Linked DNA regions of Alligator mississippiensis. The protein of the gene in region 1 interacts with the protein of each later gene in a pairwise test. Links are inferred from orthologs where the notes say so. Each region holds a gene or a part of one and is shown in the gene's direction. Other genes may lie near its edges.

What was found.
Region 2: the proteins of COPB2 (region 1) and COPB1 interact in a two-hybrid assay, tested with the Homo sapiens proteins (2 studies listed by BioGRID, with this or other methods). The link is inferred for Alligator mississippiensis from reciprocal best matches to the Homo sapiens genes COPB2 and COPB1.
Region 3: the proteins of COPB2 (region 1) and COPA interact in a two-hybrid assay, tested with the Homo sapiens proteins (2 studies listed by BioGRID, with this or other methods). The link is inferred for Alligator mississippiensis from reciprocal best matches to the Homo sapiens genes COPB2 and COPA.

The regions. Positions count from the first base shown.
Region 1 is NC_081830.1:45,473,483-45,481,324, reverse strand, and holds the start of COPB2 (coatomer subunit beta'), read left to right. Parts: upstream 1-4,804; 5' UTR 4,805-4,911; coding exon 4,912-4,914; intron 4,915-7,426; coding exon 7,427-7,564; intron 7,565-7,842. UniProt on the Homo sapiens protein: The coatomer is a cytosolic protein complex that binds to dilysine motifs and reversibly associates with Golgi non-clathrin-coated vesicles, which further mediate biosynthetic protein transport from the ER, via the Golgi up to the trans Golgi network.
Region 2 is NC_081825.1:195,519,987-195,527,720, forward strand, and holds the start of COPB1 (coatomer subunit beta), read left to right. Parts: upstream 1-4,685; 5' UTR 4,686-4,961; intron 4,962-7,734. UniProt on the Homo sapiens protein: The coatomer is a cytosolic protein complex that binds to dilysine motifs and reversibly associates with Golgi non-clathrin-coated vesicles, which further mediate biosynthetic protein transport from the ER, via the Golgi up to the trans Golgi network.
Region 3 is NC_081838.1:15,764,682-15,772,616, reverse strand, and holds the start of COPA (coatomer subunit alpha), read left to right. Parts: upstream 1-4,857; 5' UTR 4,858-4,925; coding exon 4,926-4,965; intron 4,966-6,333; coding exon 6,334-6,447; intron 6,448-6,983; coding exon 6,984-7,057; intron 7,058-7,394; coding exon 7,395-7,475; intron 7,476-7,935. Other genes in the region: NCSTN (nicastrin), read right to left, coding at 775-893, 2,211-2,334, 3,022-3,126, 4,592-4,709. UniProt on the Homo sapiens protein: The coatomer is a cytosolic protein complex that binds to dilysine motifs and reversibly associates with Golgi non-clathrin-coated vesicles, which further mediate biosynthetic protein transport from the ER, via the Golgi up to the trans Golgi network.

The DNA.
Region 1 (7,842 bases):
TGGCTCTGCCCGTGCCCACCCTGCCTCAGCTGGGCAGCACTTGCCCCAGCCCTATTCCCTCCTCACCATGGGGAGCATTGATCTGCCCTCCCACACCCCTTGTCTCCCTCTCCCCTTTCACCACAACATACTTACCTGCTGGACTCAGCTGTATCGGAAATCGGATCAATATGCCTCCTTAAAAATCGGCTATCAGTATCAGCCCCCAAAATGTCTATCAGTGCACCCCTAAATGAGACTACAGGAGGGAAGTACTACAGTTTACGAGTTTTATTATTTAGGTTTACATTGTTTTTGTCTTGTACAACATTGGTACCTAATGTTAATAACACCTTTTCCTTACACCTAGTGTGCTCAATTAATCTTCACCTTCTTCCCTGTTAAGTCTGTGGTGAGTTTTGATTCAGTTCATTGTACTGCAGCCATTAACCCCTCCCCATAATAGTACCTCAAACTAATTCTGGATCTGAAATATTTACTTAAGTAGTAAGCTGTAATACTTACCTGATAAAAAGAAATCAATGGAAAATATTTGCTTTTACAAAACAAAGTTCTAGCAAGAATTATGGAATACTTAAGATCCTAAAACAATTCCCAGAAGAAGCAGGGGAACTTAGTTGCATTATAGGTTGTTTGTTATCTCATTCTATTCTGGTGGGGACAGGGACAAGGAATCTAAACAAGTTGAGTTAGTAAACTGGGATTCAAAGAGAAATGCCGTGATCCTGAGAAATGCCATATGAGCCTTCAGAGAAAATAAGCAGCCTGGAAAAATAAATGAGAATCCTCGCAGTAATGCTGGAGTACTGGGAAAATAATCAGAGCAGGGAAACACTGAACCCTCAGGACTTGAAAATCTACTCGAACAGTTTTTAGACATTTCCCTTTTTTCACTGGTATTCCTTTCTTGTTGAAGTTACTTTTAATACTTAAGTATTTACACTGCAGATGCTTGCGATGGCATCTTATGCCATCTTAAACTTGTACAACTGGAAAATGAATGAATGAATAAACAAAAAACAGTGTCCCATCCAGCTGAGAGGCAATTTTATTCCCCTATTATCATTCAAATCCAAAACTTGGCAATAGTGTTACTCCTAAAGTTCTAATCATTAGCACTAGGATTGAAGCTGAAATCTTGGAAAAAGAAGTTCTAACAGACCGGTTATATTAAAAGGTTATATTAAAGTCTGATTTAAAAAACCAGTCTGATGAAACACTCTATCATTGTTTTCTACTAACTACTCTTGAACTTATAACCTCATTTTGTAAGTTATGCTTTACTTCAGTGCATCCAGTAAATTATAACATATTTTAATAATGGCAGGATTTTGCATACTTTATTATGGAGCAATTTTATTACACTTTTATGCCTTTAAAAAATTAGTTGAAGTATCAAAAATAAATTACTGCAGCCTGCAGTGCACATCAGCCAATCAGTTATGTAAAATCACTGTTTTTTTCTTTTTCTTCTTTTTGGTTTAAGTATAACCAATGTATAATGGGGTGTCTCAGTTAGTCTGGTGACTTTTCAAGAGGAGCTGCCATATAAGGGAAATATAGTCTGCAACAGTAAATATGTTCCAGCTAGTTTAATACTGTACGGGAACTAATTTGTGAAGACCAAGTGTGCAATCGAAAATTTTAAAACAACAGCCAGTTTCACATTGTGCTTTTTGACATGCCTGTTCGTTTTTAATGTGAGAAATACCTGTAACAAATAATAGGCGAATAGTTTGTATATTAACATTTCTCAAATCCTTTGTCAGTCGCTCAAGGTCTTCCTTCTTAGTTCTCAGAACTTGTTCATCCCTTATATTAATTTTCTGTGCTTTTGGTTTTAAAACATTAAGGGTCTCTGGCAGGAATTCACAAACTAGGCTGATTTCATGCCACTGCAAATTCCTTCCTTCCTCCTTCAGCTGTTTTCTTCTTTGTTAAACATCCTTCTCTCACCTTCCCCTACTGAACCCATGTGCACTATCAGCAGCTGCTTTGAAACTTGCTTTAGACTTCTTTTTAAATCTTCTCCCTTCTTTGGACAGGACTTGCTGTAGGAAAAAGAACTCCTCAGCTAAGGAAAAGCATTCAAAAAGCTTGAGCCTGAATGGATTCAATCTTTTCAGGTCAGGCTAACTTGGCTAGACTTAACCAGTTAGTAACGGGAAAGACATCCCTTCTGGACTGAAAAAATGCAGGCGCATGCCTACAGTGGCTCAAGTTGGGTGGGGCTACAGCATCCCTCCCTTCCCTTCCCTGGCAGGATGCTCTAATTTGGGAGAGCTGGAGGGAGGAGTTCTTCCCCTCCCCACCTTGCTGCTCCTGACAAGCAAGGGAGTCAGCAGGGAGTTACACAGCATTTATCAGCCCAACAAGAAAACAAAAGCTTCTCTCATCAGTTGAAGCTCTTCTTAAACAACTTTTTCCAAGGAAGGAATGGAGTACCTGCTGACCTGTTAATTAGCTCCAGAAAGCCCTAAGTGGACTCTGTCCTGTTCGCCTTTGTCCTATCTGCCTTACACAGACACCTCTCAGCATTACCTAGCTGACCCCATGCTGGTTATGGTCCGTGCTGTGGGAGAGAGGAGGGGGGAATCCCTGCTTGAGCAGGGAGTGGTGGTGGGAGGAAGGGGCACAGGGAAGCCAGGCAGCTGTGCCTGTTGTTTCTGCTGGAGCTCCAGCCACGGAGTAGAGGGGAGAGGCCAGCCCTGCTCTGGAGCAGAGAGCCCCGCCCAGAGCTGCAGCAGGGGTGTGGCAGCAGTGAACAGGGACCTCCTGCAGGTGGCTGCAGCAATGTTGGCAGCGGGGCATGGGGTGGTGAGCACTGACAAGTGGTTGACGACCACCCACAGACACCGCTGGTGGTGTTGGTGGCGAGGGGGGAGGGTAGTAAGTGGCGACTGCCCGCAGGCACCACCGACACCGGCCAGTCTCAAGGGGTGCATCGCTAATATCAGGGGATGCATGTGCACCCCCTACACATCACCAATGCCTAAATAAATTAATTCTGGTACTACATTCAACCAGGTTTATCTCAAACCAGTTTCAGCCATTTTCAAACTCGTTTATGTGCATTGAGTGTCTGTTCTGTTACAGGTTTAAACCAGTTTCTGATCATTTAAACCAGTTTATGTGTAATGTCTGTTCCTGACCCTCCACTATAACTTCTCTTCTCCCCATGTTTTTTAAAACTCCTGCTTTCACCACCCCGATCTTTTTTTTTGCTGGCTCTTCTCTCCTTCCACCTGCCCCAAAGCCCTACAATAATAATAGCCTCAACTGTTTAAGATGCATGAGTCAGACTCCAGGTATCATGAAATTGGCTGCAAAGTCCCAGAGTTTAGGGTGTGCTCAGATCATGGTCTCTATAGCTTGTCTATGATGAAGGTCTTGATCGAGGGTCTCATTACACATGATCTTGTTACACCCTCGATACAACCATGATCAAGGGTCTTGTTACACATTTCACTTTGATCTGCTCAAATGTCAACCGGGATTAGGGCCTTGTTACACCTTACACCATAAGCCACACAAATGTTGATCAGTGTTAATGCTAGCTTGTGTTTGGAGCGGTCACATTAAAAACCTTCTCTGACATCCCCAGCGGCAGTGCTGTGACTTGCCACTAGAGGGCTGGCAAGCAGGGGTCTAACTAGGTGCTATAGCTGCAAGTTGCCTCTACGAAGGGGCTCCCAACCTTTTTAGATTGAAGACTGAAACCGCAGACCAGAAGTGGCTACTGACTTGGAAACCACGAACTAGCAGACAACGTTTTTTATACTCAGTATAAAAAAGGGTTGGCTACTGGTCCGCCGTATGCCAGTCACTTCCAGTCCACAGTTTGCTGGTTCACGGTCACTTCCGGTGACACCGCGTGGGGCCCTGTGGCTGGAACAGCAGTCAAGACACTTCCACCTGGCGGGCGGGCGGGAGGAACCAAACCTCAACTGTGGCAGCCACCACCACAGGATAGGATGGGCTGGCCCTCCTGTGGACAGGCAGCCAACCGTTCGCGGCCCTACACCGCCACAGCCCAGGGGTTGGGAAGTCCTGCTTTATGGGGCTGGTGAGCCAGGACAGGCTTGTATCCCTGCTTGGGGGTGAGGGCAGGATGGGATATGAAGCTGGGAGGTGGACAGGAAATGGGTGAGGGAAGGGTGGCGAAATGACTCAAGTCAGTCGCTGAAGGATAACATAAAAAGTTAAAAAGGAAGGAATTTAAAAAGAAATGAAGAAGTAAATTAAAGAAGGTCCCATGTTTTAATAAACGGGGATTTGTTGGTCGTGCTTTCCAGGGTGGCCGGGCGGTGGGAGGCAGCCCCAGCGCACGGGGCCGGCGAGGGAGCGGGCTGGTGCCAGGACCGCCCCCGGGCAGCAGAGCTCTGCGGTAGGAAGTTTGTCCACACAGGGGCGCGGGGGAGGACACTGCAACCTGGGACGCTGGAGGACTGCAACTTAGGCGAGTCTGTGAGGCGCAGGCGCACGCTAGGCCTGAGCTGGGTCAGGCGGAGCGGAGACCAACCTGCCCGGCAGGAGCAGCAGAGCTGCGAGCCGCCTGATGTGCACTGGAATCTCGCTCAGGCGCGGCCGTGGGAGCGCGTCCGGAGCCGCCCAAAATAACGTACGCCAGGACCCCCGCGACCCTGAGCTACCTGCCGGCAGCCCTGGGAACTACAAGTCCCAGCAGCCCCCGCGGTGGCACAGCGCCTTGCGGCACGAACGGCCGGTGCTCCCCGTCGTGCCTCGCTCCCGGCGCGCCTCGATCTCGCGGCCTTTGGGGCCGGGAGCGGCTAAGTCCGATGTTCTCGGCGGTCTCTCGCGTCTCGCGAGAGCAGAGGTGGCGGAAGCTCCACGTCGCTGTGTCGGGAGCAGGGAGCAACACCTTGGCGTCCCCGCGGCGTCCCCGGAGCCATGGTGAGGCCAGGCCGGGCCGGGAGTGGGTTGGGGGGCTCTCGCTCCGTGCTGCACAGGCTGACGCTTGTAAAGGGGCCGGGGGCCGACGAGCGCCCTCTTGCCAACCCTGGCCTGCTGCGTCGTTCCCCGCCCGAGGAGGCTCCCTGACTCCCTGCACGGGCTGCGCTTGCTGGTGCTGCCCTGACGGGGACCTGGGGGCCGCGACAGCAGCACACAAGTCCCTGGCAGCTGTCCAGTGGCTGCCCCTGTCACCCAGTAGCTGGCAGCTGCGAGACCATCTCAACCAGAAGCTGCTTTCCCAGGATGAGTCATTTGGGGCCGTGATGGCACTAATACAGGCGTCCCCAAAACCTTCAAGCAGTAAATGTGCACAGCCGTCTCTTCCACTGTGTTTTAAGACAACTGTGCTCAATTTTTTGACCTCACAGGCTGGATTGGGCTCCGTGCGCCAGGCTCAGGCCCTACGCTTCCTCTGCCAGCCCCGTGCTGGGATTGTGGTGCAGTGTTCACTGGTCTTGCATGCTAGGATCAGGGCCTGCATGCCAGGGGGGACCCTGGGGCCTTGCGCTGCCCCCGCCCAGCCCTGTGCAGTGGGATTGGGCCCTGGTGTGCCACACCGTGCACACTGGAATTCGGCCCCGCACTGCACAGGGCTCTGATATCTGGCTCGCAGGTCTGGAAATTTGACAGCAGGGGTGCCGCACCTTTGCTCTCTGGCTGCTAAATTGTCAGCCTTGGGGAGCTCCACAGGCCAGGTAACATGATGCCAGGGGCCAGATTTGGCCTACAGGCTGGGAGTTGAAAGTGAAAAATTAAAAGCCTTCAGCCAGCTCACTGAGTTACAAGTTCTGTGTGTATCTGAGAGAGTCTTCAGGTTATATATGCTATAACTGTGTGTCAGCTACTTATATTTTAAAAGGAAAGAAATAATGTTTACCGGATTTCAGAAATATAATAAGTCTAATATTTGCTAATGCCAGCTTTAGTGTTCTCATTTTGCTTTTCAGTTTGAAGCTAGTCAAATGCTTACATTGCATTATTTCACCCATTTGGGAGGATAATCTTTCACCAGAGAACTTGTTAAATCAAGCAATTCTAGGTCAACCCATTTTGTATGTACTATTGAGAATTAAGTTTGCTCTTTTTAGAATATTCCATTCTGTGGCATATACTAGATGCTCCAGGGAAAAAAATACCTTGGTATAGCATACCCATAAAATGTCAGGTAACTTAGTTTCAGATTGCCAACACTCCTAAATAAAGAGGTCAAGATCAGTTTTGTTTCATCTGGCTTGGCAGCTGATAATGGACAAGTGTTTTTGCATCATACACAATTGCCATATTTTGTGGTAACTGACATTCTCCCTTGAGTTCTCAGCAGAAGCCCCAAGAGAGGAAAAGATATTAAGATCTACTGACTTTTTTGTCTTGGAAGCGTTTATTTAGCCAGCCAGTAGAAGTTTAAGCAGGGCTGGGTAATTATTTGGGCTGGACACTTAAGGAGCTTTGATGAGCTGTTGAGGGCTGGGGGGTTGTGGGGAGGAAGTGTTGAACTGGCCTCAACCTGTCCCATCATGGCTGTTTATACCACCCTGCATGCCAGGGGAGGAAGGAGAGAGGCATGGAGATGCCAGTTGGTCCTATCCAACCCCAGGCCTGTTTGTCCCACACCCTCCAGCAGGAGTGCCAGGTGAGCAGGTTCTCCTGGGTGACTGGCACGCTGCTCCCTGCCCAATCATGGCGCCATCCCACCCGCCTGGCTGAGAGTGCCTGCCTGTGGGGTCCTGGGCTGGTCTCCATGGAGACCCTGCCCATCCGCCTGCTCCATCTGGTGCCCCTGGCAATAGGTGCAGGGCAGGCAGGCTGGGGTGCCTGGGCAGCAGGGCCAGTTCTGGTGGCAAATGCTGGCAGTGGCAACCAGAAGAAACCAGTGCTGCTGGGTCTGTCAGGAAGCTGGTGTCAGCCATGCCACCCTTGCCCAGCCCTGCAGACTACAGCTCCTGGAATACCCAAGAGCTGCGCGTAGGGATAGGGTGGGCTGTGCTTTGCACCAGATAGGATCTCTGCATCCGGGGACAGCAGGATTGGTTTTACACACCATGACCTGCATTGGATAGAATCAGTTGGCAGGCTAGGTCTGGCCCATGGGCCATATTTTACCCACTCTGGGGCTTAAGGCTACATGGGGCAGAGTATTATGAGGTTATGCATGGTTTTGTTTTTTTAATGTTATTGTTCAAGTAGGTGAGAGGAGAAATACACATCCTTTGCGCTCCTTTGGGACTCACTGAGGTCAGTGGTAGTGTTGCATTCAAAATCAGTGCCTGTATGTTTCAAAACATCTCTTATCAGAGCAAGAAGATAAGAGAAAAGCCATAATGTGTATATACCTGGAAAAGCAGAATCAGATAGGTATATTTTTGGCCTGTCATTTATTTGGTTGGGTTACAAATATGTTAAGATTTTCAGTGCCAGTTTTACACTGAATAACCTAGGGTTCTTAATTTTATAGCCTCTCCGACTTGATATTAAGCGAAAACTAACAGCTCGGTCTGACCGAGTGAAGAGTGTAGACTTGCATCCCACAGAGCCATGGATGTTAGCTAGTCTTTACAATGGAAGCGTCTGTGTTTGGAATCATGAAACACAGGTAAAATTTCTGTTTTCCACTTTTTATTTGAGCAATGTTAATATATAATAATGCTTTGATACCCATATGCTGCTTACAGTGATGAATGAAATACATTCCACTGTAACAGATGTGAGGAAATTTAATTTATTAATAAAGGATTCATTGCTTTTTTATCTTAAAAAAATATTGCTCTCTTTACAAAGGGCCTGTTAACTATCTTTATCTTGCTGGATGGAAAAGGGCATAGAAACTAGAGGTACACCGATACTAGAGGCTGCGCTTAGAGTGGGCGGTGG
Region 2 (7,734 bases), on another chromosome or scaffold:
CAAACTTTAGGATTTGTGAAAGCTGGATATTTATGAAGAAGGAAATAAGTGTTTTGAGGTGATCTGCTACAAAAGAATATTAAATGTTTTCTAGTCTGCCCCGCACACCCCAAATCCAACAAATGGGCAATCAAAAAGAATTGGAACCAAACTGAATTGGAGAATGGTGAAAACAGAAAGTGGAGTACCAAAGTTGGTTCCTGGTTTGTGGTTCCTTATTTACAAATCCCAGTTCCTTTTTCAGTGTTTTGCTTTCAACAATTTTGAATTTGTTGGCAATGAATGAGATAAGATAAAGGGTTCTATAGTTCACCAAATACATGCATTTGCTAATAAAAATCTAATTTATCAAGTACTCCAGTCATCATCCATAGAAATTAAAAGTTAAATTCACTACATACACATGTAATGGGACACAGTATAACAAATCACTACAATCAAGGGGCAGCCCTGAAGAAAAATGAGTAAAGGGGCTGCTAGACCTGAAGCTTGATTTTTGCAACATAGTGCCATATGAAAGCTCTCCACACCTGTCCTATATACATTGTGTAGAATAAGATGAGTTGGGCTGGGGTTGTGGGGCAAAACCTGTCGAGTCACCACAAACACCTCTCCCATGGTGGGGATATCTCCTGAAGACGCTTGGATAGCATGCTGCCTGACCCAAAGCTGGATTTGCAAGTGATGTGGCATCACCTGACAGCTCCTCAGGCCTTTGTGCTGTGTATTGCACTGAATAAGGAGCTGAGTTGGGTTGGAACCGAGACAAAATCTGCCTCAGACAACTCAAAATGAAACCTCTCTGACCAGAGGACTCTCTTGAAGCAACCTGGGATTCAAGCAATGTGGTGCCACGTGACAGCTCTTCAGTTCTGTGTGCTATGTATGTTGCACTGACTAAAGAGTAGAGTTGAACTAGGAGTGGGACAAAATCTGTCTCAGTCACCCCAAAGAAATAATTCAGTGGATATGCTCTATTGGTTGCAGAATACTGCACAATTTAAAAAAGGCAACAATTTTGGGATAGTGTGAAGGAAGAATGACTGGCATTGGGAAGCTTGTCCAAAGCTCTCTCAACCAAGCAGTTGGGCCAATAAAAGATACCACCCCTTAGGAATGCTTGCTTCTTGCACAGTTCCTGGGCCATCACAACTGCAACTTCACAGTGATGTTAGCGTAAGAAGCAAGACGCTGACTCCAAATGGTGCGGCATGGTGAAGAGTCTTCACGTTTTTAGAGTGGGCACCCCCACACCCAACACAAACTGAAAGCCTTGAGAAGCAACTGTGCTGGATTACCCAGACGGTCAGCAGGCCTCCAGGCATTCTAGCAGGTAGCGCTGTAGATCACAGGTGGGCACAATGCACAATACCATCACCCTGTTAACCTGTCCCCATACAGAAGATAGTTTCCAATGTCAGAATGTCTGAAAGCATGTACCAAGTTAAACATCTCTTTTGTGCCCTGTTGCTTTTGTAGCAACGAGGAACAGTGAAACTACTTTTAAAACTCAGAAAAGGAGTGAGAAATACACAATTCAGCTTACATTGATTGATGATTATTCCAGGCAGTTTCCCATCCTAAAACACATCCTAAGGCCCATGGCATACAATATGCTTGAAATGTGACTGACCAGTTAATCACATCTCAAGTTGTTACCCACTTTAATGCAATTAATGGTGTGATGAAACAAGGAATAAACCACAAAGTTTCTACATAAAAAATGTAAAAACTGGTGGTGTGCCTCCACAGTGGGGTGCCCAGATCAACTGACAGCTCACAACCCCAGGAGTACATGATGCAACCCCGTGGCTGGGAGCTGGGATCAGCTGACAGCTCACAACCCAGTGCATGATGCGCTCCTATAGCTGGGAGCCCCATCAGCTGCTACCAGCACAGGAACTAGCTACTTGCCAGAGCAGGAGGAGCCTGAGATACCTGCTGCACCTGCAAAAAAGCATGAAAGGGTCTGATTCTGGATCCCACAATCATACCTGCCATGCCTGTGTGGCCAGAGCCCAAGAGTCAAATTCACTATCATCACACTTGGTGGGAAGCTGCCTGGGGCAGATGTGAACTGCAGGTTACCTATAAAAACCTTTTTAAAATGCTTATGGTTACAAACACAATTAAAATCAGGACACGCACATGCTACTGAACTACATGACTGGGCCAAGCATAGAAAATGAGGGTTGGAAGGGACCTCGGGATCATCTAGTCTAGTGTTTCTCAAGCCGTGGGTCACAAGAATATATGAAAGGCTTGCATACAAACTATGAAAATAGATCAACAAACTTTCATAGATTCTAGAGTTGGAAGGGACCCAATGGATCATTGTGTCCGGCCCCCTACCCCTGGCAGGAAAGAGGACCAAGGTCAGACAACCCCAGCCAGGTGATTGTCAAGCCTCCTCTTGAAGCCCTCCAAGTTAGGTGACAGCACCACCTCTCTTGGAAGCCCATTCCAGACTCCGGCCACCCTTATTGTAAAAAATGTCTTCCTAATGTCTAACCTAAATCTACTCTCCACTAGTTTGCACCCATTGGGGCGCTCTGGTAAACAGCGCATCCCCAATTCCCTGTCTTCCCCTGATAAATTTATAGGCAGCCACAAGGTCACCCCTCAGCTGTCTTTTGTATAGGCTGAAGAGATCCATCTCTCTCAACCTCTCCTCGTAGGGTCTTTCACAGAGACCATTAATCATGCGGGTGGCCCTCCTCTGAACCCTTTCCAGATCCTCCGTATCCTTCTTGAAGTGTGGTGCCCAAAACTGGACACAGTACTCCAACTGCAGCCTGACTAATGCTGCATAGAGGGGAAGCATAACCTCCCTCTATCTGTTGGTCATGCATCTGCTAATACACAACAAGGTGCGACTGGCTTTGTTGATGACCTCATTGCACTGCCAGCTTATGTTCATCTTATGTTCAACTATGACTCCAAGACCTCTATCAGCCTCTGAGCTGCTAAGGAGGACATCCCCCAACCTGTAGGTGTGCTGGGGATTCCTCCTTCCTAGGTGGAGTACCTTACATTTATCTTTGTTGAATTGCATCCTATTACGTTCAGCCCATTGAACTAAACTGTCCAGGTCAGCCTGTATCTGCTCCCTGCCCTCCGGTGTATTAACTTTACCACACAATTTGGTATCATCTGTGAACTCGGAAAGGGTGCTCAACACGCTCTCATCCAAATCACTGGTGAAGATATTAAATAATACTGGCCCAAGGACTGAACCCTGTGGGACCCCACTACCCACCTCCTTCCAGGTTTAAATGACCTGTCGACCACCACTCTTTGGGTGCAGTCCCTAAACCAGTTGGCCACCCATCTGACTGTGTAGGCATCCACTCCACAACCCGTTAGCTTCCCTATAAGAACAGGATGCGACACTGTGTCAAAGGCCTTCCTAAAGTCCAGGTAGATGACATCGGCCTCTGCTCCTGTGTCAAGGTAGCATGTGACCTGGTTATAAAAGGCTATAAGGTTCATCAGGCAGGATCTACCTGTGATGAACCCATGCTGGTTTCCTTTCAGCATTGTTTCTCCTGCTGGGCTTTCACAAATATGCTCTTTGATGATTTTTTCTAGTATTTTCCCCAAGGATAGAGGTAAGACTGACAGGCCTAAAGTTACCCAGCTCCTCCCTTCTCCCCTTCTTACAAATGGGCACCACGTTGGCCTTTTTCCAGTCCTCAGGGACCTGTCTGGAGCACTATGAGAGCTCAAAGAGCTGTGCCAGCAGCTCAGCAATGACACTGTTGGGGCTTGAACTTTAAACATGGATTCTCTTTTAAGGGAGAAAAATGTGGGAAACTGTGGCTTTTCCCTTGCAGACTGGCAGCGTTCCGGCCTGCCGCTCAGCGTTGGTCCTCCCATGCCCCACACACTGTGGGGCTGGGGGCAGTGGGTTGCAAGTGAGGGGCACTGGGCCGGGACTGGCCATCTATGAGTCCTGGTTCAAAAAAGGTTGAGAACCAGTGATAGTCCAAGCCTCTGCTCCAAGCAGGACATCCCCGGATTAGATCATCCCACCCAAGGCTTTGTCTAGCCAGGTCTTAGCAACCTCCAAGGATGGAGCTTCCACCAGCTCTCTGGGTAACCTGGTCCAGTGTTTTACTACCCTCCTCCTGAGAAAATTCTTCCTAATATGTAACCTAGACTTCCCTTGTTGCAACTGGAGACCATTGCTCCTTGTTCTGTCATCGCCCACCACTAAAAACAGTCCAGCTCCCTCCTCTTTGGAACCACCCTTCAGGTAGCTGAAGGCTGCTATTAAATCCCCCCTCAGTCTCCTCTTCTGCAGACTAAATGAGCCCGGCTCCCTCAGCCTCTCCTCAATACAAGGGAGCGCTCTCACACATCCCTGCCTCTCCCAAGCTGCCCCTACAGCCCCCGGCTGCCTGCTTCCCTGCCCTCTTTCCAGCCTCATGGAGCCACCCCGCATGTGCCCCGAGTGTCCTTCCAGAGGCAGAGCTCTCTCCCCAGCAGCCACCACGCAGGAGCCGCGGTGGGGGGTGGGGCGCAGGGCCTGAGCCGCCGGGCCCCGCGCTCCCCCTCCCACCCCACGCGAGGCGGCTCCGAGCAAAGACGTATATGCGCGGAACCTTGAGCCGACAGGAGACGCGCTTTTTCAACACGCAGAGCGCACGCGCCGTGCTCCCTCTTCTCCCTTTCCCCCCGCAGCGTCTGTGGGGCTCAGAACGAATGTACAGAGTGCATGCGTTATGTTCTCACTCCCTCTTTCCCCACCCGCAAGGCGTATGCATCCTCCCCCACCCCTCCCTTCTTCTCTCTTTCTCACTCCCTCCCCGTGTGCGAGGCGGAGCCGTTCTGTGCGCCGCTCGGAGGAGGCGTGTCCTGTGAGGGCCGCCGTAGGCTCGATGTGGCCCGCCCGGGGAAGGCCGTTCCACGTCAGCCGGAGCGGGCAGCGGGGCCGGGCCGGAGTCCCGCCGCGGGAGGTAGGTACCGCGCCGCAGGGACCGGGCCGGGCCGGGCCGGGCCACAGCGGCCGCCGCGTGGGGCGGCCGGGGCAGGGGTGATCTCGGCCGCCTGGGTCCCCTGGGGACTGTGGGGGCAAACGGGAGACAGCCGAGGTGTCCCGTCAGAGCCGCGGCCTGCAGGCACGCCCGACCCGCCGCGGCCTGCGGGGCTGCTTTGCAACGGGAACACCGCTGTGTTAATTTTCTGTCGGCAACAAAGAGCCGGGGAGCTCAAGGGGGCGAAAGAGTTTGGGAAACGCCGATGCAGGGTTTGAGCCACAGTGATTTGATTTTTTCCACAGATTGACCCCGGGGGTTGTACGTTTTCATAAACGTATTGTCACTTAGCAAGGGGCTGAATTGTAGAACAGTCGAGTATCTTCGGGTAGATGCGATATCTCTTGTTAGACCACCTGAATAGTTGGGAAAATGATTCTTGGCAACAGCTCATGAAAGGGGTGGAGAAAAGGGGTGTTTTTTGCTTTTTTGCTTTGTTTAAACTGGTATCAACACAAACTTTATAATGAGTTGTGTGTCCTGTGACGAAGGATGTTTATTTTGTGTCTTCCACCTGGTGGTGCAGCTCTGTAGTTCTGGGGGTAACATTTTTGGACGTGTGATATAGTTGTGTAGTGACAGGCATGTGTAAAATTAAAGAGTTCCCCATCTATGCAGGGGACTTGTTTTCAGTTTTGAAGCCAGGTAAAGGAAGAAGAATTGTTGCCCATTCACCGTTAACAGTAGAAACTGTAAGGAAATGGTTTTGTTAAATGGTAGGAGCGTAGTTCAAATAGTAGTGGTAACTCGGAAAGATGGTAACAAAGGATCTTATCAAAACTAGTGGAGGGTGCCCTAAGGCTTGCGTGACTCTCGGAGATTTAAGGATTGGAACCAGCAGCAAGACCGTTTTAAAGGCCACACAAATTATGAACGCTGCTTGCAGAACACATGAAGCTTCTCGTCAATGTGAGCACTGTACTTCCAGTTTCAAAAGTTGTAAAGTTTAAGGTGCATCCAGCAGAAATGTGGTATGTGGCACGCATCTGTGGCATCACACACCGCATGTTTAGGTATTCCCTGGACTCCTGCCTTGCAGTGTGGTGGGTTTTGTTTGACCCCAGGAGATCCTGGGGTCAAAAGAACCCACGCCAAAAAAAAGCAGGGTGGTACATGTGACAGCAGTGTGTGCCGCCCAAAACCTGATCAGCTGGAGCCACACGGGTTACTGGCCAAGCTCCCTGCTGCAGAAGTGCTGCGGTCGGAGATCCTTGATGACCCCAGGTAGGGCTGCTGGGGCCAGGATAGTTGCTGGCCCCAGCCTCTTCTACTTCATCTAGGATAACCTACTGCACACCAGAGCATGCATGGCATGGGCGTTCCTCAGGGACAAGTAGCCACAGCACAAGCTGTGCCACTGCTACTTGTCCTTGGGGAAACACACGTCTGGACACGGCCTAAGAGTTGAGCTCCTCGGGGCATGGGGTAATGCAGATGAATGACATATGCTTCTGTTGCAGATTTGGGAAGCTGTTCACACCTAATGCAGTTCAGAACCTTAAGTTCCAAGCGGAAGTAACCAAAGAAGGTCCCTTTTTCACATGTCTCTTCACCACCAAATAGTTGCATAGCAGGTTCTGATGGTTCTGTACATAGTTCTGAAAGTTAGTAGCAAATGGAGTCCAGGACCTCTTGGAGTAATGCTTGCTGCAGGTTAACTTTGGGATTGTTTTTAAAGGAGCATGGTTTGATGTGACTAGTTTCAAGCACTTATTAAAATCAACATCTTGGACATTTTATTTAAGTTAATACATGATAGGATTGGCCTAGTGGAGGGCCAGGCAGACTGCCTCCCTTGGAAAGAATGCCTTTGCTGGAGCAAACAACAGATAGTTTCAGCCTTCTCCTCTTACCATTTCCTTGCCTTCCCATGTAGAAATTGAAGATTATGAAACAGAAAACAGTATAAAGATTTTGTTCTTTGGGGAAGTGCATTAGTTCTTGCCATCTCTTAGGGAGTCTGGTCAAGAAAGGGCTTTGACTGGGAGCATACTCTGGTTCAGAGTCTTTCACATCTCACTCTTGGTGAGGGAAGCCATTTACTGCTTCCTCTCCAATTCTGTGTCCCAGGTGTGATCTGTTAAGGGAGTGCTTTTTGGTGCCCTGTATAACTTGGAAACACTGTGCCCAGGATTACTAGGTTCTGTGGACCTTTGCCTGTAAAAATGGTGGGAGGAAACTAGTTGAAATCCAAGATAAGTTAATAAAACTTAAGATATATCTACTCTGGTCTCTTCTTGTACATCTCCATATTAGAGATGAAGAAGTTAGATGCAGAAACTTAAAGCATGGTCTATGGTGGTGACTTGGGATGGAGGGTTCATACAACTGGCGAGGTGACTGAATTGTCATTTCTGAAAATGTGAAAGCAGTTGGCCTTTTTTGGTGACCTGTTATTGGACCAATGGGAGAAATGTTAGAGAAGCTATTGGGCCCGAAGTGCCCTTTCACAGGTCATTCTGTGACCAACTACAATGTATACCATTGGTCCAATAAACGAGATCACCAAAACACCTGTTGCTTCCATATTTCCTGTGTCATCGTGGCTACAATAGCACTCCAACCTACTATTACTAAAAATGGTCATAAGTAAATTGCAATTTTTTAAAGATGACATGAGTGTTTAAAACTTTTTTTTTAAGTGTAACTTTAGTGTTTTCACTCTAGAATTAATTTGCGTTTTGACTTGAGTTTT
Region 3 (7,935 bases), on another chromosome or scaffold:
GATAAACATACCTCTAAGGCATTTATAAGGTGCCAGCCACTAACACTGCATGAGCACCATAAAGTGAAGGGTATGACAAACGCAAAAATACCACACTAAAACGAATTCTGTGCATTTACATGGCACCTTTCACCACAGAGCACCCCCACAGCACAGTACAGATTATACAGAACGAGGGAATCTCTTCACCCAGCAAAATGCAGCCACTTCTAAGGTAGGATGTACAGCATGGGTTAGCAATACGTGGCAATAGTTTAGGACAAATAGTGAACAACCAATCAAACAAGTGCATGGTTGAAAATGCAGAGGGAATAAAAAGAGGCAGTGAAGCATGCTGAAATTTGGCCAGGGATGTGGGTTTAACACGCCAGCTCTGCAGGAACAGTCACAAGTTCTTTTAATGACCATGAGTGGTCAGGATGAGTTTTAGGTCTCATCCAAAAGACAAACAGCAGGAAGACTAAGTCAGCTCTGACAGAAGGGGGGAAAAAACCCAATCCCCACCCCCCAAACCTTACAATCTCTTTGCAGAACCACTGATGTTATTTCCTGGAGCTCTCAGGCCCCTCTGGAAGTCTCCTACCCCAGTGCTTCTGAATTCTGAAGAAGTCCAGCACAAGCGACTCATGCCTAGAGCGTGCACCAAGCCCGAATCCTAACTTGAGCATTCAGCAAATGCCAAACTCGCCAATTGGCAAGCTCCTTCCCACTTTGATCACACACCCAGGAAATGCTACCTTCCCCAGCGACCATAAGGATGAAATGTTTCCTTACCAAACCCATCATTGGGGCATTTTAAGCCAGGGGAGAATCCTGGTAAAGGACTCGGTCTGGAGAGGGCCACAGCCAGCCCAGAAACTCGTGAGGTTCCCTTCAGCTGTTGCAATAGCTCCCTGGAAGAAAAAAAAAGAAATGGGGGTAAAACAGACCAGCATACTCTACCGATCTCAGAGGGGAAGACAGTGAAAGGATCAAAGACCCTCATGAAAAATAATTAAAATAAATAAAAATATTCATGAAGTCCCTGCGGCATTCCTGAGAGTTGTACTTTTTAATGTCTCATGGCTGCACAAAGCAACTTCCCTGAGGTTACACGATCATTAAGCAGTGGACTGGAACACTAAATACACAGCTCACCTACTCCACTGACACAATCCACTCCATCACCCACTCACAGTTCACACCAGGAAGAACTCTTTAGGAAACAGGAAAACAGAGGGAATAAGCACAACTCCAGATAGCCAATACCCACGTACTGCATAGGACCATGACCTAGGCACAGACCAGGATCAGGTACCACCAAGTGAAATCAAGGAAAGATGAAGCTGACCGTGCATCCTCATCAGTGATGTAGCACTTGCATGGTTTGCACTGCTGACACCCAGCTGGATGATGTGTCAAGCCCCTTGGGAAGGTCATTTCCCCACCCCCACTCAGGCCACTTGGCCAGTTGCGGACCCAGACAGGACAAGAAAGTGGGTTGGGCACTGCATCTCTCAGCTCAAATGTCAAGTCCAAGAGAGATGGCCAAGGACTTCATTCATCTGACAATAGGAACGAGAGCCAAAACAGACAAATGTTATTGATGTTACTGACATGCTGCTTCCCTCCCTGAAAAGGGCCTTTTCTTCCCTAAACATTACTATTTTTTTTAAATGACATCCTGTGCTGAAGGAAGAAAGAGATAGAAATTCAAACTGTAGTGGAAAACAAAACCTTACCAAAAAGGCTGAGATGTAAATAATTCCTCCAAGGCTATGCTAAGGCTCTATACTACACGTTAAAGCTCTTCCTCACAGCCTCTACCAGTGCTTGTAAACGCAACCCTAAGGAGGGTTCACAAATTGCCATGGATGTAGAACTGGGCTCCTGAGTTTTGTTCGAACTACTAAACCATCCATTAAGACAAACAAGCAAGGTACTAACTCGCATCAAATGCACAAATGCTTTTTTAAACAAGGCACCGATATTCAGCACTGCCTTCTCTGGAGGGTGGCAAGGGCGCAACAACCCATAAAATGAGCCATGGGAAGGCTGTCCCTCAAACACCCTGCTTGGGTTAAAATTCCACCTGAGGCTACTGAAAAAGCCACAGGCATCTCTCCTTGGAGTCCTAATCAGAGTTTTGGCCACCAAATTACAGTGCCCCTGTTTGTCATCTCAGAGGAGAGGAGGGTCAATAATTGTTAGCACTGACAGTGGCCCATTACCTGGTGAAGAGCTCCCCTTCTAGCAGGACCATGTATGGAGGATGGGGTCCATCTGAAAGCACCCACTTCAGGTCCTGCTCCTTCTCAACCACATGGATCACTCCTGTATCTCCATTAATAGAGGCTGCAGAGAGACATGCACAACATCACCATGTTTCAGTGAAATCCATTTCCCTCAAAGCTGTACACCTCCTGGGTATTGGAAGGGAGGAGACTAGAAGGCAGTCTGAATTAAACCATGGCTCACCCCACGGCCTGGAAGAGCTGGAGAACCCCTCTATGCTAGCTTATTTGTTAGACCATGTGCATTTCCATCCTTTAACCACAGCAGACAAGATCCACTGTGGGGCAAAGCTTCTACTGAGGAAACAAGATGTTCAACCACAAATCAGCAACATGCTAACTGGCAGGAAGCCCTTTCACCAACCACAATGTGGAAACCCTTCAAAATCAGCGTTCCTTATTTGTCTTCCTCCTCTTCCCAGCCTAAGAAACCCCAAACCTTGACAGCACACAAACACACACATGCACAAAGTCAAAACTAAACTAAGCTTATAACCTATCTAGCTTTAAAATACTAGCCTAGAGACATGAGAGGAAAAGGAAGATGCCCAACTGATTAAACTCAAAGCAAACAGTTACATTATATTACTCTTTCAACTGCGTCTGCTTCTGGGACAACTCTGATCAGAAAAGGCATAGGATCTGAGGGTTTCCCATATGTTTAAGGTGTACACACGTCTCCCTTATCTTGCATCCTCCCAGCTTAAAGGAGAAGAACTGCTAAAGACAAGTGCTCGGTCATACTTACACTGACAGCCTATTTGATGAGTAGCATTCAAGAGACGAACACATGGGGCAGTCTTATTTAAGGTAATATAGATTTTCCTCTCCACAGAATTACCCCAACAAGAACCTGAAAAGGCAGGACAAAACTGAAGATGAACAGGATGGAGAGATTATTTTTTAGCATTCTTTGACAATTGTTACCTCTGTCCCTGCCCAAAAATACTGAACGTACATTGACTGGTTTATTTAGGAACACACGGAATAAAAAAAAAAAAATAAAAAAAATCAGCAAAGAGCACTATGTGATGATCACTGCAAATGCACGTCAGAAACACAACACCCGTGATGGGTCCACTAAAAAATGCTTCAGGGGACCATGCCAGGATTGGGAGCCAGGAGCTCTTTTATCCAGAGGCAAGGATTTTCGGGGAGCAATTTCTTTTATCGCACCACCCACTTTAGTGGGATGTTCCAGATAAGGTCACACTGCTCGTATGCCCACATTTCCCTCTCTACTATCATGACTGGAAGCAGGTCACTCACCCAGCTTCCTTATTAAAGCCAGTCAGCACCATGTTCAAGGTTTCCAGACAGTTTATTTTACATGGGGCAGCCTTGTCCCCACAAAAAAAAGAAAATCAACAAACCAAGCAAACATGCAAATGGCAAACCCCAAACTTGCAGCCTTCCTTCAGAGCTTGGGAGGAGTGAGACAGGCTCTGTACTTTTCCCCAGGCACCACCACCTCCTCCCTCTTGCTCTTCGCTTCTGGAGCTCTTAACTCCCTCTCTATCCCCACCCGCACTTCCTGGTTATCCTTTATAGCTGCTCCCAGCCAGGCAGGCTTTCACCGCCGACTCCCTGCAGCTGGGTCTCAGGCTGAGTTGCAAACTGATCACCAATGATCCTCCTGATACAGGAGCGGCGAGAATCCACCTTTCACCAAGCCTTTGCATCTTCTGTACATTTTGACCATCGGAAGAACACCTTGCATTCAAAAGCGTGTCCAGCTTTATCCCAACCATGCAGTTGGTCCAATAAGAGATAAACCCCAAACTCCTTGCCTCTGGCATACCTTTAAAATGTCAATGCATTGCCTGTCTGCTTTATAATGCTTCGCAACAGCATCTAAAAACCCACTTGGAGCCACGTTAAGCGTGTCAGTTAGTCTGCCACTTTTGCTTTGTATCCGCCAAAATCGTGCGGTCGACTTTACAAGCAGGCAGCGCCACCCCGGCCGGCAGAAGGAAACGCACGGGAGGAAGCACGGGGCTACGCGAAGTTTTGCCGGCTGCTTCGTTTGGAGCTCGAAGCGAAGCAACGAAACGAAGGGCATTGAAACGGCCTCGAAACGAACGTTTCGAGTCTCGCAGCTGAAGCTGGGCTCGCCTGCAAGGAACCTGCGAGTCAGGAGAGCGAGGGGAAGACGCGGTCTCGTATTGAGCGTGGTCCTGCCCTGAGGTCCGAGCCAAGCCCAGTGCTCTGGGGGAGGGAGGGAAAAACAGCACGCAAAGCAGCGTTGTTTGAACCGCCCGGCTTTCCGTCGCCCTCGGCCAAGGGCTTTGCTTGGGGGTCACCTCAGCTAGACTCACCCGAGGCCGCCACACAGAGCAGGATCCCGCGGAGCAGCGCCCCGCCGCCCCACGGGGCTCCGGGTCCTCCTCCTCCCGCCCGCCGGAGCCCCCCGGCTTGCCCCGCCGCTACCGCCATCTTGGTTGGCACTTCCGCTTCCGCCCCTGCCCGGGGGAAAAGGGGGTGGGGGTAGTGCGCCTGCGCACGACGCACCCCCCCACCCCTTCCTTCCGCCCCGGAGGACTCGCTCTCTATGGTTCCGGCGGGCCGGGGTGGAAGCGGAAGTGGCGGCGTGGGGCAGTTCCGGTGCCGACGTGGAGGCCAGGCCGAGGAGGGCGTCGGGGCCGGGTCGCGATGCTCACCAAGTTCGAGACCAAGTCGGCCCGGGTGAAAGGTGACGGGGCCTCCCCAGGATCGGGCCCATCCCAGCACCCTCCCCTCAAGTCCAGGCCCCTCCCTCAGCACGGCGCTTCTCAGGATCGGGCCCATCCCAGCGCCCTGCTCCACTCTTCCCTATGTCCATCCCCTGCACCCCCCCCTCCCCCAACCTACATCCCAGTTTCCATGCCCCCCCTCACACGCTATTTTGCCTCCCGTGGGCTCCCCCACACCCCAGTCCTGACCCCGGTTTCTCTTCCCCCCCCTGCTGCTGCCTCCTGCCCCCGCCTCTGCCTCTGCCCTCTGCATCTGCCCCAGCGTCTGCCCCTCTCAGCTGGCATCAGGGGTGTTATCAGTCCAGCCCCGGGGCCTGGCTGGCAGCGCCAGTCTCCTGAAACCCCTGGGTCTGGTGTCTCTTAATGTTTGTTAACTCCTAGCTCGTTGCTGGTTCTAGGCCGGTGTTACGAGCTCGTGGGTGGTAGATGTCAGTGATATCTTTTACCACCGGTGACAGTTGCTGCTTTCTGTCTGCACATCCGTCCCCGCAGCGCTGGGAGGCTTTAAAAAAAGCCATTGGCGGCACATGGGAGTAAAGCAGCCTGCCTTTATCTTGGAGCCCTTAGCTGATGTTTTCAGTGAAGCTTTTAGGTGCCTGATTGTGGCCCCTTGGAAGGACCTGAATTTTCTTTTTTTTTTTTTTGAAAATGACAGAACAAGGAGCAATGGTCTTAACTTGCAGCATGGGAGGTTTAGGTTGGATATTAGGAAAAATTGTCTTATTAGGAAGGTGGAAGAGAGATGGTGGCATTTCCATCCTTGGAGGTTTTTAAGACCTGGCTAGACAAAGCTTTGGCTGGGATGATGGAGTTGGGGCTGGTCCTGCTTGGAGCAGGGGCTTGGATTTGATGTGACCTCCTGAGGTCCCTCCCAGCCCTCGTTGTCTGTGATTCCACGACTTCTACCCACCCTGAGGCCCCTTTGGGGTATCTCAAGGTGAGAAGAGCCTGAAAATTAACACTGATGATGATCATGTTCTATGTGGTGCTTGAGGATGTGCTTTTTAAGCATCTCAATTGGGCTGTGCCAGGTTTATTTCCAAATGTTCATAGAGAGCTGATGCTTCCTCGTTCTTATTGCTGAAACTCATTTGTAATCAGAACTATGATGCAATAAATCTCTCAGCAGCTATGACCTATGAACCTCCCAGCAAGGTATGTTTGCATGCTTCCTCTTTGGGAGTTTAACAGCCACTTGTATCCTGTGTTTGAGACCTGGCAGGTCCAGATGACTGGTTCTTCCCTGCTTCCACTGCTATCTTTGTCTCCAGAGTTTGCACTTAACTGGAAACTTGACCCCTATGTATTTCTTTGTCTGTCTGTTTTAGGGCTCAGCTTTCACCCAAAGAGGCCCTGGATCCTAACAAGTTTGCACAATGGTGTGATCCAGTTGTGGGATTACCGGATGTGCACCCTCATTGACAAATTTGATGAGCACGATGGTGAGTGTGTGAGCTGGAGTAGGGGGGGATGTAGGAGATAACACTTCAGGAAGAGACTGAAGTGCAGCAGGCACTTTGCAGAAAATGACAAGCATGTGAGGGGAAGAAGCGTGATCTTTTACTTGATTCCCAGGTTTGGGCTTCCAGAGGTCTAGTTTCTAATTCTAGCTGTGTTGCATATTCTGTCTTTGGCTTTGGGCAAATTACTTGCTCTTTGCACTGTTCCTGAGCTGTAACATGAAGATAATGCTGCTTTGCTTTACAGGGGTGTCTTAAGGATAGCTTTGTTGGACGTGTAATAGATTCTTAGGTATTATATTGATGTGGCTAGAAAAGCCCAGTAGAGAGAAGAAAACTTGCTTTGAGGAGGTCTTAGGAAGCTGCTCTGTCACTTTGAGGCGTTACTTCATCCATTGAAACGCAGTAGGAAGTGATAGAGCTGCACTCTTCTTCAAGTGAAGTGATAGCTTGCGCTGACTGCTGATGTAACTATTAGCTCTATCCCTGTGTCTCACATGCCCCATTTCCCCTTGCAGGACCTGTCCGTGGTATTGATTTCCACAAACAGCAACCTCTCTTTGTCTCTGGAGGTGATGACTACAAAATCAAGGTAAAACCTTCCTTCCTACTTCCCATTGTCCAAAGAGTCAGGGTGTGTAGTAGAGCATGGGAAAGCTGTAAAATGTGTGAAACATGCGTGCAAGCTTAGAGCCTAATAATAAAAAATCAAAAGACAATGGAAATGGTGAAGTTGAGCTCAGGAGGGCATCACGGGGAGCTAAACTTAGTGATGAGGTCTGTTTCTCACTTGACTCGGGTCATGTAAAATGAAAGAGACTATAGTCTGTGAGGCAGCTGGCTTCTTGCAGGTCCAGAACAAGTTGTCAGCAAGGATCGGGGCTGAGTTTGGCAAGCCTCTCACAGTGTTTTGTTTTATTGTTGTCCAGGTCTGGAATTATAAGCTACGCCGCTGCCTTTTCACCCTGCTGGGACACCTGGATTACATTCGTACCACCTTCTTCCACCATGTAAGTTTTCCTGCAGTGTAACTTGAAGTATAAGTCATTGTTATGCACCTTGCCTCATTTTCTGTAGAGGAAATACTCTCTGTCTGCTTTTCTTTTATGGTAGTAATCATAAGGGTTCCTGGTTTTCTCTGATTAAAAAAAAAGAATCTCCCATTTGTGGTTTAAAAAAGTAACCCAAAATCCACATTTTTTCTGTGATTAAAATGAAACCGCACTATAGATATCTATATATTAGTGGTTTTCATTTTTAATCACAGAAAGATATGGATTTTGGATTGCTTTTTTAAATCTAGAAATTGTTTTGTTTTTTTTAAATTGGAGAAAACTAGGATCCCAGATTAACACAATATGCTGAGGGCTGTTCAGTCGTAAAGAAAGTCTTGATTCCTGCCTCTGAGATGCTTCATATATGAAATAATTCACGGGGACAATTAGTACTACTCACTGAAAGGGTTTTTTT